4 linked regions of the Coturnix japonica genome follow. The protein of the gene in region 1 interacts with the protein of each later gene in a biochemical or structural test. Links are inferred from orthologs where the notes say so. Each region holds a gene or a part of one and is shown on either strand. Other genes may lie near its edges.

Region 1 (4,668 bases):
GAGTTTAATGTAAAACTGTCACTGACCAGAAACACTGTTTAGAAATAATCAGGAGGTCAAATGGAGTGTTTTTGTTCCCTAAGTAGATGAGAGTACAGCTATGAGGCACATATTCCCACTCACACCTTCAGCCTACATGAACAAGCTCCAACACTGTGTTGCTTTAGCAAAAGTACTTGATGAAAAATGCACTTGCTGGAACAGGGGCACAAGAACAGCCAAAACTGCTGCTGGCCAGCAAGCACCAAATTTGTTCTGAATTTTGTAAGCATGTTTGCGAGAAACGCTGTGCTTTAATTCAGCCAGCTCTAATCACCATTCTGCCTGGCTGCAAATAGCAATAAGTAGGATGACTCCCATATAATCTCTCTAGTGTTTCCTGCAGAGGTAATTTGGTTATTTAATGCTCATCGTATTTCATAAACGCATTTTTATAGAGAAGCCATTCAGATGGCTTTATACCAGCACTACACTGCTGAGATTCTCCACTGGGTGTTCACACATTCATATTTCCACCTCTGAGTGAAACCAGGAGATTTTTCTCCCATTTGCAGGAGATGTGTGCGTTGCTATGGAGCGCTGCTGCCCAGCTCTGCCTCCTTCTTGGGAAGCAAGGAGCACCCCTTCGCAGGACAGAGTGGAGCAGCTGCTCCCCAAGCACCACTGCAGCCTCCATCCCTTGGGTTCTGGCTTCTGGTGTCATAGAAGCAGCAAAGCCACCAGACCACTCCTGCTGCTCCACCACCAACACAGAGGCCCTGCAGAGCAGCAGAGGTCTTTCCCAACAGATCCCAAAGGAGGCTCCACAAATATCTTCTTCTTGAAAAAAGAGCATGTTCTTTCCTGCATTTGGCCCCAGTTTGCTGATAAGAAGGGGAGAATTTCCTGAGCCTTCCCTGTGAGATGAGCTAGAGATGATTTGAGCACGGCAGAACAGTCTTGGGAAGTTCAGGAGGCATCAACAAATGCTCTGAGCTACCAGCTCAGGTGGCAACTCAGTCAGGAAACCCAAAGATAACAACAGTGACTAAAACATTTACAGCGAACATGACAATCCTGCCCTTTCTCCCCTGCAAAGAGTGCAGTTATAACACATTTGTTCTGCTACAATGCCACAGAAACACTTCTGGAACAGTTTCACAGCAGTGGCACCATTGGCCGTGCTGTTTCCATAGACCTGCAATGCCAGGAATGCGCACAAGCCTCTCACCATGTGACATAAGCACATAACCCAGGCAGTGCCCACCCATTCCACATGGTCAGGTCTCATTGGCAAGCTCTGTGATCACTTGCTCATAAACCAACATGCAAACACACACACATACAAGTTAGCCATGAACACTGGTATCAAATTGGTATCAAATCAGTACCCAGTGCACACCACTCTGCTTTTTCCAGGGGAAAATGTCTGAGAACTTCCCTTTCAGCTCAGTCTTTACAGAGAAAAGCACACACTGGCAGTCTCACGAGAAGGCAGAATGAATGGTCTGATGGTGAGAGAGGCACAGCCTGGGCTGCTGCTGGTCTTGAGAGAGACTCCTCAAGAAGGCACCATCCTTAGCAAGCCTGGGGAAACCTGATGTTGAAATTTGTTGGCATTAGCAGATTTTCCTCCTTAGCTATTGGTACAAAAATTATAATAATCATTTTAAAATAGCTTCAACTGAACGCTGCAGGTAGTAAAGCGGTTAGCAGAGATGAACAGAGCTCCTCTTCACAGAGCTGGGATAGCAAAGCACAAATCAGACTCAGACAACTCCTAAAACGCATTTCTTTCTCTGCTTCCAAGTACCAAAATCATCCCTTTGAACCTTCAAATCCCCTCTCCCTCAGTGCAGAGCACCTCCTTTTCCCTGTTGGTGTAATCTCACTCCTCCAGAAAACATTGTCTCCCTGCCAGCAACACTTTGTCTCCATGTGGACGTCCACCATCCTCCCCACATCCACAGGAGCAAAATTGAGGGACCTGTAGAGTGCACTGTATGCCTGCACCTGAACCAAACATAACCCCGTGTGCTGCAGCCAGCCCCTTCCAAAGGTCGTGTCAGGAAGCAGCAGAGCTCCCAGGTGCATTTCACAGACCAAAGCAAGTTTGTTCCAATTAAGCGCAACAACTTTATTGCCAGGCATGAAAGGTATCCCTGAGGATACCCGACACTCTCCCTTCCTGCTGCAAGCACAAAAAACACAGACACATATTTCCGTCCAGCTTTAGGCTGCAAACTGAAGCTGTTTCCCACTGAAATGCATTTTGACAGCATAGCCCAGGACGAAAAGGGAACTGTATCCCACAGATAAAGCTCACGGCGCATTGCACAGGGAGCAGCACCTACCTCACTGAGCCAGCAGAGCCTGCAGGTCAACATAATTCCTCATGGATGGAGATATTCACCCCAGCCCTAGGAGCAGGGGCTCTGCTGCCATGCCCAGCACCTCGGACACACCAAGAAAGCATCTTCTGCAAGCAGCGCAGCTCCTGACACACACCGAGCAGCAGTGGCGGCGGCAGCCTGGGAAAGCAGCAGCAGTTGAATTGCTGCACATGTATCTCTGCAGATTATTTCCTGCTTGAACACTTAGCGTAAAGGCAGATGCTCTTAACCCTCTGGAGGCCTCCGACTCTGTCCTCCACTGGCAGGGGCAAACAAAATACTCCAAATACTCCGTAGCGAGGCTGGAGGGAAACAGGTGGAAATGCACAGGACATCCTCCGAGAAGCAGTCCTAACCTGGAGTTACTTGCAGTCACTTTGGGAGCCAAGCAATCCCACGGAAGCCCACAGCATCCCCTGGCAGGCACCGCACAGCTCCCACCGCATCACCCCAGCACCGGCAGAACACACAGCTCCCGGAGGGGCCAGAACGTCAGAGGACACAGCCAAAGACAAGGTGAGGAGGTGAGGGATACAGCGGTGTCACTGACACTGGGGCACACGGGGCTCCTGCCCCCAGCACACAGCTCCGTCGTCCATCAGCCGCAGGCGCCCACAGCGTGGGCAAGCACACACTGTCCTGCCGGCACAAACAGCGCTCAGCCGGGGAGCTTCAGCGCTGCTCCCTCTCTCTCACAAGCTGCGAATGTGACTGGAAAGCATGGCTGAAAAACATGCTACAATTAACAGGAGGGAGGGGGATACTATTGCTCTCCTGCTAGTCTTAAAGGCACATTGCTCACACGAGCCTGCTGGAGATGCGGATGCCTGCAGCTCCCACCCGGTGCCTCAGCCAGAGCCCAGAAGGAGCTCTGTTGGCTCAGGGCAAGGAGACAGCCCACAGGGAAGGAAAGAGCCCCTCAGCCTGGAGGGGAAGGAATAGCAGGCCTAGCCCCAGATCTCCCACATCAGGGCTCAGAAATGAGGCCTCCCTCATCTCCAGGATCCAGCTGTGGCACTGTCACCCAGCAGGGATGCTTGCCCCGGTCCCAGCACAGCACAGCTGTCACTACATCACACACATCCCTGTCCCACACACATACAGCCACTGTCCCTGCCTGCACCCTACAGGGCAAGGAGAACACATAGCATCCCATGATCTGGTACCCTTCTTCTGGACCTGGCACAGTGCAATCAGCAGTGCTGCTCCCCATAGAGATACCTGCAGCACCAGCAGGTGCAGCTCTGCACCCTGATGCCATGCATAACAGATCTCCCTTCTGTAATACCTCTCTGAGCTGTGAGACACCTCAACATGCTGCTCAGGCTGCAATGAGCACAGCAGGTCTCAGCCTGGCCACAACATCTGCTGCTGCAGCCATCTCCCACCCACAGCCCAGCAGGGCACTAGCCAAAGGCCTCACTGTGCTGATAACCTCTCTGCATTCTTTCAGACATCATTTTGCACTTCAGTGCATCAAGACATTCACTCCAACACATCCAGTCTTTCCCACCCCTGCAGCAGTAGTATCTGAAACACCCCTTACAAGTCTGCCAAATAGGGAAATTGCCCTATTAGAGATGTGCATTTACATTTCCTCAGCATTTTCCAGGCAGGACTGAGCCGGTTGAAGCTCTGGACCTGGTTGAACTGCCTTGAGTCACACAAGGTCACATTAATGCCTTGGATTCTCCAAGCCCACTGCAGGTCCCAAATTAACTCGACTGCTACCTTCTTTCATTATCATTAGCAGCAGCGTAGACAATTTAACCTTAGCAATGACAAGACAAATTACTATGGTGAAGCAGCTCCAAGTTAAGCACAGTTTAACTCCAGGCTTCTCTGAAAAGCTGTCTGATAGAAAAGGAGCAGACCTCATACTTTTGGCACAGAGTCAGTGAAATGTTACCTGACGCAAATACACAGCGCAGCATAACAAATAGCTGCTTTCCTGTAGCGCTTGTGCAGAAGGTCTATTAAAATGCAATCATTCAGTGAGACAAATTCCACACAAAATATCACTGCTTCCAGGCCACGCAGCTTTGTGCAAAAAATACCATGGGGAATGAGTTCAAGTTTTTCTTTATTAATCACAAGTGTCTTAAAGAGAAGCGAGCCTTTTTGACACCAGAGCTACAAAACATGCATAAGTAGTCATCAAAATGCTGGCAGAGACACTTAAGGCTTTACACTCTTAAAGATTTTCCCCTGCGTATCAAAGTTCAAGTTTGCTCCACAGAGCACAGCTGAGGGTTTCTCAAGTATAAGGCTTCATGAACTGTGTCTGATTAGCATG
Region 2 (3,906 bases), on another chromosome or scaffold:
TATGGATTTACATAACTAAGATAGAGAAATGAACAATCACACCTCTGCTGTCTTTCATTTCACCAAACGTTTTGTGAGCCAAATTCAATGCCAAATGTGTGTTGGGAAATCAAAAGCATTTTTTTCATTCTGTAATTTTTGTACAGATTGCAAGTATGCAGCAAACACAGCAGACTTGGAGTTAGCAATAGCCGGGGTTTCAAATGTGATGCGTATTTGCTTAGATACCTGATCCTCTTAACAAATTGAAAATGCTTCCTAAATAGTGAGGATGAACTTGAGCTCTCATCTGAAGCAATGCGTGCGACTGCAACTGTAATATTCGGGTGCTGTTCCATGAGTGATTTACATCCTGTCTGTGATACAAACACAGCTTTAACTGTGCTGGTGGATGACCAGTTCAAGAAGTTACATCATACCATCTTTAAATGACTCTAGCGGCTGCTATGAGTGTCTGCGAGATATCTAACTGATGCCTTACAGAAGTGGGCAGCATGAACTGTGGGTTGTCTTCTGTCAGTGCACCTCAATTTCGGAGTGTAACAAGATAGACATTGGTCTTGAAGTTTGTGGTGGCTGCTTGTCTATTTAGTGGCATTACAGCAGCACAGAAGATGTTCCACGTGAAAAATGATTCCCTGAAGGTTAATTATGGAAAAGAGGAAGTAATGTATTTAGGACATAATCATGCTCCAGACTTCATCTTCTAGAATGATCTATGCCTTATTTATGCGGTAGATTAATCACTGCTTCTGTCTGCCTTTCTGATAACGAAGATCATAATGTCTACCTGCTTTTCTGAGAGACTGTTCTACTGCTATTCATGGACTTAACGTGATTCAGAAGAATGGTCACTCTAGAAATGTAAGTGAGGAATATTAATCCTTGCTACTCTTGAAGAGCTGCCTGCAGAACGCCGCATAGCTTTGATGCCATGTTTGATGCCCATCTTGCTCGGTACTGGTCTGAAATCAAATTCTTCAGATGAAATTTTGGTTTCACTGATAGTTTTGGTCTTTCAGGACATGTCAAGAAATGAGGAAAAAATGTTGAGTTTGGGGATCTTTACTACAGAACACTCAGCAGAGATCGTGGAGGAATTTGGGTTCTTTTTCCTAGCGCTTTGATACATCAGGCACATTGTAGGTGGAGGAAGTAAGAAAGTATTTTCAAACTGCTATGAGGTTTAATCAAGTTTTTACCATTCCAGCTGCTGTTTGGCATCCAATTAATATAATTACAGACTACTCATGCCCAAGTCAGCCTTTTTTGTAGGGAAAACATTGGGTGTATTTCTGGTAAACTAGTTTTTGAATGTAAAAGGTATGTTAGTTTGCTTGGTGATACTATAGATTGCTTTGACAAAATGATAGCCATACATTACATAAATTACGGAGTTTTATGCATACAAAACAGTGCTACCGCATTAACTTTGTTTAAAAAGCAAAAGCAAACAAAGCCACCAGTAGGATCTTTTCAGGCATTGCTCATAATGAACACTTCATTTTTGTTTTTTTCTGTAGATATCTGCAGAGCAATTGAATTGCTGGAAAAATTACAGAGAAGTGGAGAAGTGCCACCGCAGAAACTACAGGCTTTGCAAAGGGTCCTTCAGAGTGAATTCTGTAATGCTGTAAGGGAGGTAAGTTAACTGTGTAAGCAATTAGCTTGCATTAAAAGTGGTACCTTGAAAAGTGGAAGTGTTAATGCACTGAACTTCAAAAAACTGAATTTGACTTATGGAGCTTTATAGAAGACGGCTTATTTTTTACAAGTTGAGAAGAAAACAGTTTAGGGGTACTATAGGTGTGTTGTATTAAACAGTATCTGATAAACAAATTACTTCTTGGAGGTTATTTGGAGGTTATCTAGCTGCCTTGCTGGCAGGTAGTGCCCTGTTATCCTGTTGGCTGGTAAGAACGGGCAAAGTATAAATTGCCTTTTCTTTTAAGCTAGATTGGCATCATAGCTTTGCACACCTCATCTTCGTTCCTGATGCTCTTTCAGTAATTTGAGATGATTGAATGCATCCTCCTGTTGGTGGCGGTGATGGTGCTACCACTGCTGATAACACCTGCAACAATTTGCAAGATCTGTTTGTGGACGTGGAAGTCCTCTTGATGTTTTCATCTTATGAAGGACTGCGTTTGTTGTGTTAGCTACCACTAACCCAGTTAGCATTAGTATTCTTATGGCCTTTGTGTTTTCAATAGCCTTTATTTTCATTATGTATTCAGTTGGTTGCATCAGGTGAAGGGAAATACAGATTTGATTGTTGGGTGAGCTTTGAAGATCCACCCTTGCATAATTTTTCATGCACCCTTATGGAAAAGTCCAATTAAATCAAATATGAGAAGTTAGTCACCCACATCTGCTGTCAGATGTTGTGGTGAGGTCTGTATACTTACTGAGTGAGAGGATTTGGGTTGAGACCTAGAATGTGTGTGGCTTATCTGAGCAGTAAAGATATTGAGAGAGTTGTTTCTTCATAGTATGGTAGATACTTTACTTGGCACCTTGCAGTGAATCAGGGAGTCATTTGCTAAAGGTGTTTGGTTTGGTTTTTTTCATGTATGCAGTTTTAAGTTGTAACTGATTGTTATGTTACCTAAGCAGAAAAATAACTCTTTTCACCGTGCTTAAGTTGTCTTATCTTTAAAGGTGTACGAACACGTATATGAAACTGTGGATATCAGCAGTAGCCCAGAAGTGAGAGCTAATGCAACAGCGAAGGTAAACGCCAAACTTGAGTAAAATGTGTTAATTTGTTACTTTAGAAGCAGAGGAAAGGTATTTAAAATCCAGAAATGTATTATCTAGATGTTTGGTCAAATAGATAAACATATGAGGTCATTAAAAGGGATAACAAAAGACATTTTTTAAAAGTTTTTTCCACTTATATTGTCTTCGTTGAGTTCTAATTTTTTTTTTAATCCCGATGTTGTTTAAGAAATTGATCTGATTATTCTTAATATTTTAGCACTTTAAGATGAAACTAATTTTTCAGCCTGCTCACTGTGTCAAGCTGAGGAGTTTGTAGTCGTGTAAATAGCAAGATCTTATTTTTTACAGGCCACTGTAGCTGCATTTGCTGCTAGTGAAGGTCATTCGCATCCCAGAGTGGTTGAACTGCCAAAAACCGAAGAAGGTCTTGGATTCAACATCATGGGAGGCAAAGAACAAAATTCTCCCATCTATATCTCCCGAATTATCCCTGGTGGTATAGCTGATAGGCACGGAGGCCTGAAACGTGGAGACCAGCTCCTTTCTGTAAACGGAGTGGTAGGAATTTTTTCACTTTCTATAGCAGTAACTACTTGTCTCCACTTGGGGGCATACGTAGAATATTCGTGGCACAAGCTTGAGGTTGTCTTTCGATCCTAGCAAAACTGCTTCTTATTGTCCTCTCAAGAACATCTTCCTTAGGTTTCTGAACCTAGTTCTGTGCAGTGAGAGTTCTTGGATTATGCTTTGGTTACATTTTTCAACTGGGATGGGTACTATTTATGTCAACGTTTCAAATTCTGAAAAGTTGTATAAATCTGGTAGGTCTTGTTCTGAAATAGTATTGAACTACCATTATGGCTTCCTGTTTTATCCAATTTGATGATGCAGGTTTTAACTTAGTTTTCTGCAGCTTCAAAGGTAAGTAGTAAATTATAATGCATGATGGTAGACTGAGCAGGGGCTCTTTGTCATTATCCCAGTAGGAGCACTACTGCTTAATGAAAGCTGTAGAAAGATGGAAAAACAAGGTGGTGTTATCTTCAGTTATCTTTACTTAAGTGCTATAAGCTTCAAAACCAAGATTTATGTTTTAAGGAGTGTGTGTCTGAGGTGCTGTTGGAGGTATTTATTTTTAACAGGTATCCTCTTCTGCTGAGTTGCAATACAAAAAGAAAAACA
Region 3 (4,286 bases), on another chromosome or scaffold:
TCATTGCATCAGTCGCAATTGCAGCACAAGCCTTTCTGAATGCTGCCTATAATAGTTTGATTTAAATGATGTTGCTTGAGCAGTAGCATAAATGATCCTTCGGTTATTGCCCCACTTCCCCCTGCTCTGTGTGAATGACACAATTTCCTTAGGGCTGGAGCCCCAAAAAGAAGGTATGGAACTAAGGGCAGCTCTACAACAGACCCTTACTGCAGTGTATTGGTGAAAGGGCTGTTTGCATTCATAGGGTATTTTCTATACGTGCTGGAATTTCCAAACCATATTCTAAAGTTTCATACCATGAGCTCTGGTTCAACCACTCGGAATCAACAAATATCCCCTGGAACTGAAATAGCAGCACTAGGACCAGCCCCAATTGGAAGTGCATTAGGGCCCACCTAATTGCTTCCTGACTCACTGATCCTTCATCCTGACCCTTCTTTGATCTTTATTTTTTCCTTTTTCTGGTGCATGAGTGACAAGTGAGAAACGCCATCTGAGGGTGTTAGATGGGATTATTCCTCTATCCCCACAATGACCTTGCGTTATGGGATTCCATCTTAACACTGAAAAAGCATTCAAGTCCTGATTAAGAAGAACTTATTCAGTTCATTTAATTGCAAGTGTTTATTCATTTTTCGCTCTGTAATAAATGTTTTTGTCAGACAACAAACCAACCTCACTGCGTGGATATCTCCTTTCTGCTGGCTCAATCTGGGCTGCTCTTCTCCTCATGTACATGTACAACTCTGACACCACGGGGAATATGGACACTTTTAAAGTACGTTCAGTGTTGTTGTAAACACATGAAGCCAATGTCCATCCTCACTTAATATGGTCTCATTATAAGATATGTGGACTTGTACCAGAGAGTGCCAGATCCCTGATGCTACGGGAATTGGTAAAGTTCCCATAAATTGGTAAAACACACTGAATGCACGTTGTTTTCTTCACAGATCTACACGGGCTCTTCCATGGCAGAAAGCTGAGGGATGAACGGGGCTGGATCAGAGCAGAGCTCTGTGCTGGGTCCGTTTCCTTTAGGCGTGTTCCACAGCCGAACTCAGCGCTGGTTTTTGACTATCAAACCCACGTCCATTCCCAGGAGGTTCTTCCCTTCCACGGGGATGTTCCCAAGCCGAGTCTGTATCCGAAAAACCAACAGGAGATGCAGCCTGGGATGGGGAACGGCAGCAGCGGGATGGGCTCTGACTCCCAGCTCTGCCTGCGGGACACGCGATGTGCACGTGGGCTTTGAAGTGCTTTAGACATAGAAATAAGTGCATAGACATAGTGAGCAATAAGTTCATAGACATAGTGAGCAATAGGTGCTATGGACACAGTGAGCACTAAGCGCTATGGACACACTGAACCTCTCACCTTGCCTCCTCCCCCCGCCCCTCCGTTAGGTACCGGCCCCGGGCCGCTCCGTGCGCTGATTGGGCGGCAGCCGGGCCCGGTCACGTGGGAGAGGGGGGGTGCTCTCCCCCCAGCCTCCAGGCCGCCATTTTGGCTGGAAAGTTTGGAATTCCCGAGCGCTGAGCCGGGCGGTGGTTGTGCTGCTGCTGCTGGTTGTGGTGGCGGCTCGCCCTGCCCTGCCCGGCTACTATCAGCCGCCCCACCGCTGGTCCCGACCCGTCCCTCTCCTCGCTGAGCCGCCCCGGAGGGTCGCTGTGCGGGGCGGTCCCCCCCGCTCCCGGCCGGCAGGGGGTGCGCGCCGCCGCCGCCCCGAGCCGGGTCGGGCTCCAAGTTGAGGCGGCGGAGCGGCCATGCCCGTCAGGAAACAAGGTGAGCGGGGTCCCGGACAAAGGAGCCGCGTGGGGCGGTCCCGGGGGGTGGTCGTGGGGCACCGTGTCCCACCTGTGTAGTGCTCACAGAGTCTCGTGTTCGGCCGTAGATACGCAGCGCGCCCTGCGCCTCCTGCAGGAGTATCGCTCCAAACTGAGCCAGGCGGAGGATCGGCAGCTGCGGAACTCCATCGAGAGGGTCATCGGCATCTTCCAGAGCAACCTCTTCCAGGCGCTGATCGGTGAGCGATGCCCCTCCTCTAGGGTCGGGCTCTTGTGTGTTGGTGGTGAGGGGAAGCGAGTTGTTGTGTTGTCGGAGCCCTCGTGTCCCTCAGTGCTGTGTGTGTATCACGCTGACACGTTGCTGTTGCAATGAGCTGTTTTCTGTCACTTACTTTGTATGAGTTTTCTGCCCTGGCGCTGCAACGTGTCTGTTGTGGGCTGTGCCGTGCAGTCGGGTTTTCCACGTCTGTTTCTGTGGGTTTAAACAATTTATTAGGAATATGTTTTAGTTGTGAGCCCACGTGTCCACAATGAGTGAGCTGAAGTGGTTTTACTCTTAGAACTCGGGCAAATCTCCCTGCTGAAGGATCCCTAAAAATGCTGCAAGTTGTGTATTTCAGGAGCAGAATTAAAGTGAATGGAAGGAAACTTCTCATGTTGCAGGTGGCTGTGCTGACTTTTTCCTCTTCGGTTGTGAAGTGCAGTGAGAACCTCACTCATTCCCAGCTTCAGAGCACTTCTGGTGCTTTTTCTCTTTAGCCATTAATGTAAATATTGCTGAAATCATTCCGTGAAGCCTTGAATTTCCTGCACATCTCTTAGAAAACAAACAGAGCAAAATAAACACGTGGGGTATGAGCACAACTTGCAGAATCCTGACCTGACTTTGCAGCTTCTCCAGGGAGGCAGGGAGCTGTGGTTTCTTCCTGATTGGTTGTCACTGCGTATGTAACAGCTTGGAGTTTCATGCCCTTCCCTTTTAACAAAGTAACTTGCACATAAACTTTGTTTTAACATTGTAGACAGTCTGGGTTTCAGCTGTTACTTCGCAGTTACATGGTTTGAAGCCTATCTCACAAGTTTACATCTTCATAGTGCTGTGTCTTTGTGTTGTGGTGGAAACATGAGGAGGGTTGAAACATCGCTGCACATGAACTGCTTTCTCTTGGAGCATTTGTATCATCTGCAGGTGGGTTTTCAGAAGTTGGGCATCTTATGGAACATCTCCTGTATTATGTTCCTGATAGATGGTTGTTCAAATGGGTCTGTTCTCATAGGACACCTCTAGAAAGGGTTCACTTGCAGGAGCTCAGTTGATGCTCAGCAGCTCCGTGATGAGGATCTGCGCGCCTCTGTGTGATGTGTGTGAACAGACTTTGTTCTTTGCTGAATGAAATCATTGAAGTTGTGTATCGGAAGCTTAATACTGTGGTTATGCTTCTTATTTTCACCTGGGAAATCTCGCTCTTAGTTATTAATTGAATGAGATACAAGTCAGTAGTACGGAAATGGCCTTTGGTATTGTAACCTGTAAGACACACTTTATTCTAAAATCTGTAACAAGAGCCAGGTTGTCTGTGTAACTTAGCTCTTGGCAGTAGCACTCTTCAATTGGGGTTGCCACGTGCCTGCTGGAGGGCTTCATGCCTTGTTTTCTGATCTGTCAGAAGTTCTGTTGTAGCCGTGGGGTCTTTGATTCTGTCCGGTTCAGTTGATCTCAGCGTGCACAAATAGGTGTTGTGCTATTTGAGAGCATTTCACATTCATTTTGCATTTAGTGGTTAACTGTGTGATTGTATGTTAAGGAGCGTGCTTTAGTGCTCCAAGCTGTTCCTCTGAAATGTGATAGCAGAGAGTCACTTCCCAGCAATTGATGCTGTAACTTCAGTATTCTTCCTTTAACCTGCTCCATGGAAATGAGTTGGAGAAGTACTTGCTCATGGCAGGCTGCTCCTGGCAACATCTTTATACACTGGGACTACTGCTTGGTGCCCCCTGGGAGGGGGTCAGCTCCCTGCAGGGAGTAGGGGGCTGCCAGGAAAAGGTGCTGTGAGAGATGGCTGTGTTGGCTGAGAAGCCCTTGAGCACTAACTGCCCTCCTCCTACCTGTCCTCTTGCAGTGGAGGCTTGTGAACAGGCTGGACAAAGCTGTGCTGCTGGTTGGGCTTCCCTTGAATATTGCACTTGTAATTATCTTGTAGCTGATTTTTCAGGTGTGACTTTTATAGGAATTGTGCTGTGTCTCCAACTTAAACATCCACAGCTGCACTGACAGAAGCTTCCGTCCAAGCTCACATACTTTCCTTTAATTCCTTCAACAGATTTTAGTTCAGAAATCTTGCAAAATTGACCTGTTTCTTACATACAACAGTCTGCTTTAAAATGACTTGAATTAGGGCAGTGGCGACTCGGTGTGAGCAGTGTTACAAAATTGACGTTATCACATCAGTGTTATTTCTGTAAGTGAAATAACTGCAGTAATTTTAAGTCAGTAAC
Region 4 (4,490 bases), on another chromosome or scaffold:
AGCAGCAAAAATGAGGAGAAATCTGGAGATGACACAATTGGGGGAAGGCGGGAGAGCTCCAGCTGAGGAGGAGGATTGAAATGGAAGTTCAGAGCCTGGAGCAGAGGACATTAAGGTACCCACAGGGTGTACATAAGCAGGGCACCCCGCTGCCCCCATACCTTCCAGCACCACCTCTTTGCCCGTTTTCTTCAGTGCCTGCACCGCCTCGTCGTGAGTGGCTTCGGATAAGTCAGTGCCATTCACGGACAGGATGGCATCTCCCACATACAGTGCCTCGGTCTGGTCTGCTGCCAGTCCCTTGAAGATCTTGGAGATGAGGATGGGCATCTTGTTCTCCCGGCCACCTGCGGGCAGAAGGGGCACCAAGCAGTGAGGGGACACTGAGCAATTAGGGGCACAGGGCTGCTCAGTGCCCACACAGTGCCCAAATACCTCAGAGCTTTATGGCAGACACATGTTAAGTGCTTCAAAAAACCATCCGAGTGGCTGCAGATTTCCTTGCTGAACAAACACACGCCCTGACCGCCTCCCCATCACTTCTGGCAGGAAACTGTGTCACTATTTGCATTATTAACTGTGTGTGCTGAGCAGCCTTCCCTGCTCTCAGGACCCCACGGTCTCAGTGGGGCAGCAGCTGAGTGCTGGAGAGGCAAAAGAGCCCCAGAGCAGCAGCTCAGCCGCAGGACTACCTGCTCCCCACTCCTCTCTGTCTCCATTCGGGCTGCTCCCCACTCTTCAGCCCACCAGGACACTCTCAAGGCCTCCGGGCAGCTCAAGGAGATCAATTTGCACTTTAAGTTCTGAACCTGTAGGAGATGCCAGCAGCCCCGCCTGGCGCTGCCCACGCTCAGCGCTGGGACAGCGTGTGCCGGGCACCCCCTCACTCCCCCCTACCCCCCTCCCACGGGCAGGGACCGGCAGCGTGACACCTCCCAGGGCTGCACCCGCTGTGCCGCCAGCATTGCTCCGCTCGGATTTCTGCAGAGCCTCTCCGGGAGCTGAGGGCTCCTCCGGCTATCAGCTGTCAAGAGGCCCCCGCGGGGGCTGCTGCTGGCTGCCGAGCCCAGCTTGGAAGCAACGCCTCGCAACCACCCATTCTGGGCTGTGTGCGTGGAGAGGGAACCACCGCCCGGAGCACCATGCGGTACACGACCCTGCAGGAGAAGGATCCTAACCCTAACCCTAACGATGCTAACCCTAACCCTGCAGGGCTGCATGAAGCACCAGAAACCCCAAGTGAAGTACTGTCTGGGGTTAGGATGCAGCTGAAATGCTTTAACCAGAAGGTCCATTTTAGATTCTGTCCCACGGGCCATGGACAGGAGCTGGCTGGCAGCGGGGTACCCGTCCCTCCATGCCCCCACCCCCTGCAGGGACAGCAAGGTTTGGCTGCGTTTAATGGCACATGGTCACCCCCCTGCAAAGCAGCAGAGGCACAAGGCAGCCCAAGTGCTGCCCGCCCGCCTGCAGCTCCCCGTTTGGATCACGGCTCCTTGGTTTCCACCTACGTCACTGCAAAAATAAAGTTTAGCTGAAGCAAGTAACGTTTCTCCTTTCCTGGGAGAGCCGCAGAGCCGGCAGCGCTTCGCAGCCCGGGGTTGGTTACAAGGGGGGATTGCACCTCCCAAAAGCGCTGCCGAGCTGCAGCACCCACAGCCCCAACAAGCGGTGAGGGCTCACCCCGGACCCCTCACGGGGACCCGCACCCGACACACCGCCCCACCCAGCAGCGCCCGGCAAGGAGCGCGGTGAAGGCTGAGCCCAATGCGGCCACGTCAGACAGCGGCAGCCCCCCGCACCCCCCCTCGCGAAGTTCCCGGCCCGAAGTTCCCGCAAAGTCCCCAGGACGGGGGTGGGGGCGGCGGGGGACACCGGGGGACACCCGACCGGGGCAGAGCGCTGCGTTTGGGGCGGCCAGGAGGGGACACCGCACCGGGGTCACGCAGGACGCAAGGACACGCGGGCGGAGCCCTCCGGTCGCAGCAGGGCAGCGTAGGTCCTACCTGCCGCCGCCGCCGCCCACTCCTGGTACTCCCCCCCCCTCACCTTTGATGCTGATGCCGAGCCCCCCCACGTCCTGTTTGACGACGCGCACCGTGCGCCTGATGTTGGCGAGCGCCTCGGGCACGCCGGAGCTCTGCTCCCCTCCGTTCAGCTGAGCCGGCGGAGGCTCCCCGGGCCCGGGGCCGTCGGCGGGGCTGACGCTCAGGGTGTCATCGCTCAGGGTGAGCAGGACGCGAAGCCACTGTCCGCCGGGACCGCGCAGCTCCAGCAGCCCGCTGCGCGCCCCTCGCCTGCCCGCCGCCATCTTCCGCGCATGCCGGGCCCGGCCCCGCCGCTCCGGCAGCTCCGCTCCGCGCTGCCCCGCGCACCGCCCGGCGGAGCAACGAGCCCCGCGCACCGCCCCCGGCCCGGCCCACGCCCGCCCCGTCGGGGCAGCGCCGCGCTGCGGGGCTCCGTGCCCGAGTATGGGACGGGGAGCGCCGGGAGGGGCATGGGGAGCTCTGCACACCCTCACTCGGACCCTCCCGGCTCCGGGCACCGCGGTGCGGTTGTGTCACAGGGGGACCCTGCGGGGCACGTCGGGGCGCAGCGGTGTCCGTGCCGAGAACCGGGTGCCACGAAAGCTTCGGGCGTGCTGCGGGGTACACGAGTAACTGCTGTCGTGGAAGCGAGCAGCGCTGTCAGGCAGAGCCAGAAGTGACTCGAAGCGAACTCTGGACTTATTAAGGAAAACTGCGATGATGAAAAGCAATGGCAGCTCTTGGGGGCGGTGGGGGGCAGCCTCAAGAGCTCTCCCACTGGCGTCCGACGACGTCGGTGCCCCAAAGATGGGTGCAGACAGCAGCAGGGAGGATTTTTGGAGGCATTCAGAACAGTCTTGCTTTTTTTCTTTCCTTTCCCTGTCCTGCTTCTTGAAAACAGGAACGGTGTTTGTTTCCTTTGGCAGATCCGCATTTCCTCCTGCAACCGAGTGGCAGCAATGAGGGATAAAAAATACCTCTGGGTACATCCCCTGTGCCCCTTCGGGCAGCTCCAGAGCCCTGGGGTGGGGCTGCAGGTCCCCAAGCCCCAGGCTCTGCAAACGCAGCCTTAAAGGAATTGAATCCCGTTCACGCACAAGGGGAGGTGGGGGGGGTATTGCAGAGCAGGGGGCTGCAGCCCTCCCCACCCCCACACGGAGGCAGCAGCGCTCCCCCCACGCAGAGGCAGCTGTGGAATTTCTTGAGATTGCGGCAGAGGAAACCCTGAAGGTTTTTCCCTTGCAAAGCACAGCTCAGATATTCCAGTTTTCAATCCAAATTCTGCAGTTCGATTGGAGTGACTTTTTGGGTTTGCCTAACAGTGATGCTCCCACGCCCATCACACCCCCCCCTCCCCCCCCCCAGTCCTCTGTGCATCCCACAGACCCTGAGCTGCTGTGCCCATAGCAGAGGGGGTTCAGTCCTTTTGCTGCCAGTTGGGGTCACTTTGCCCCTTGCCACTCGCAGTCTTTTTTCTTTCCAATGCTATTTCCAGCACAGGTGATTATTAAGGCTGTATTCTCATTGTAAGCCACGTCAGAAAGCAGAGACACTGCTCCCAGTGCCACAGGATGGCACCATCCAGGGATATGTGATATGTTTGCTTCCCCAGCCCTGGCAGCACTATGCAAAGCAGCAGTGGGAAGCAGAGCAGTGCCACACAGGGGGAAACCTTGTGCCATGCCACACTGCTGGGCAGCAAGGCCATGTGTGCAGCCCCACATCATGGCACAGAGGTGCTGCAGTGCCCGTGGGATGGTGATATCTTCACTGTGATTCTGTCACAAGGCTGAGCCCATCCCATCCTCCCCCTGCAGAACATCCCCGCTCCCGGACGTGGTGGGTGAGCTGCTATTATTAGCTTCAGCTCTTGGCACACACAGGAGCTGTGTCAAAGCCCACCCGTCTATTTATAGAGCGCTGTTAGCTGCGTGAATTTACATGAATCACTTCTGAAACAGAAGAAAAGCTCGTGTTTGGGTCTGAAGTGGCATCCCCAAGGCTGACAGCAGCACCTCAGGAGAGCATGGGGCAGCAGGTCCTGCCTTGCTGAAACAGATCAGAGGCTGCAAATGCACTGGAGAGGATGGGCAGGGAAATAAAAGAGATTCAGATGTGCACCATGTACTTAACCGAGTGATTCATCCCCTGGTATACAGGAAATGTAGTGAAATGGTGTTGTCTGCCCAAACTGTGCAGTCTCCGACTCCTCCAGTTGACTTTAAAATGTTTTGCTTTGGGACACAGTCACTCCTGGCCGAGTTTCTCCCTTCTCAGTCTGGGTTCTGCTCTCTGGATCCCCATAAGACAGCCACACCAGCTGAGCTCTGTGCTGTGGAAGCGCTTTGCTGCTGCACAGCAGATGGGTTATCAAGGCTGGATGAGTGCTGTCAAAGAAACAGGAAAAAGAAGCACCTGGGGACTGAGATAGGTGTGGGGAAAGCAGGAGCTGGGGGATGCAGC

What was found.
Region 2: the proteins of HTR2C (region 1) and LIN7C form a complex in vitro, tested with the Homo sapiens proteins (2 studies listed by BioGRID and IntAct, with this or other methods). The link is inferred for Coturnix japonica from reciprocal best matches to the Homo sapiens genes HTR2C and LIN7C.
Region 3: the proteins of HTR2C (region 1) and DLG1 interact in a test that uses a peptide from one of them, tested with the Homo sapiens proteins (2 studies listed by IntAct, with this or other methods). The link is inferred for Coturnix japonica from reciprocal best matches to the Homo sapiens genes HTR2C and DLG1.
Region 4: the proteins of HTR2C (region 1) and SNTA1 interact in a test that uses a peptide from one of them, tested with the Homo sapiens proteins (2 studies listed by BioGRID and IntAct). The link is inferred for Coturnix japonica from reciprocal best matches to the Homo sapiens genes HTR2C and SNTA1.

The regions. Positions count from the first base shown.
Region 1 is NC_029519.1:2,578,350-2,583,017, reverse strand, and holds the start of HTR2C (5-hydroxytryptamine receptor 2C), read right to left. Parts: upstream 3,091-4,668; 5' UTR 2,334-3,090; intron 1-2,333. UniProt on the Homo sapiens protein: G-protein coupled receptor for 5-hydroxytryptamine (serotonin).
Region 2 is NC_029520.1:3,029,540-3,033,445, reverse strand, and holds part of LIN7C (protein lin-7 homolog C), read left to right. Parts: intron 1-1,523; coding exon 1,524-1,642; intron 1,643-2,661; coding exon 2,662-2,733; intron 2,734-3,072; coding exon 3,073-3,282; intron 3,283-3,906. UniProt on the Homo sapiens protein: Plays a role in establishing and maintaining the asymmetric distribution of channels and receptors at the plasma membrane of polarized cells.
Region 3 is NC_029524.1:10,829,498-10,833,783, reverse strand, and holds the start of DLG1 (disks large homolog 1), read left to right. Parts: upstream 1-1,486; 5' UTR 1,487-1,769; coding exon 1,770-1,788; intron 1,789-1,860; exon of another isoform or gene 1,861-1,897; coding exon 1,898-2,029; intron 2,030-4,286. UniProt on the Homo sapiens protein: Essential multidomain scaffolding protein required for normal development. Recruits channels, receptors and signaling molecules to discrete plasma membrane domains in polarized cells.
Region 4 is NC_029535.1:2,063,036-2,067,525, reverse strand, and holds the start of SNTA1 (alpha-1-syntrophin), read right to left. Parts: upstream 3,043-4,490; 5' UTR 2,312-3,042; coding exon 2,050-2,311; intron 348-2,049; coding exon 162-347; intron 1-161. UniProt on the Homo sapiens protein: Adapter protein that binds to and probably organizes the subcellular localization of a variety of membrane proteins. May link various receptors to the actin cytoskeleton and the extracellular matrix via the dystrophin glycoprotein complex.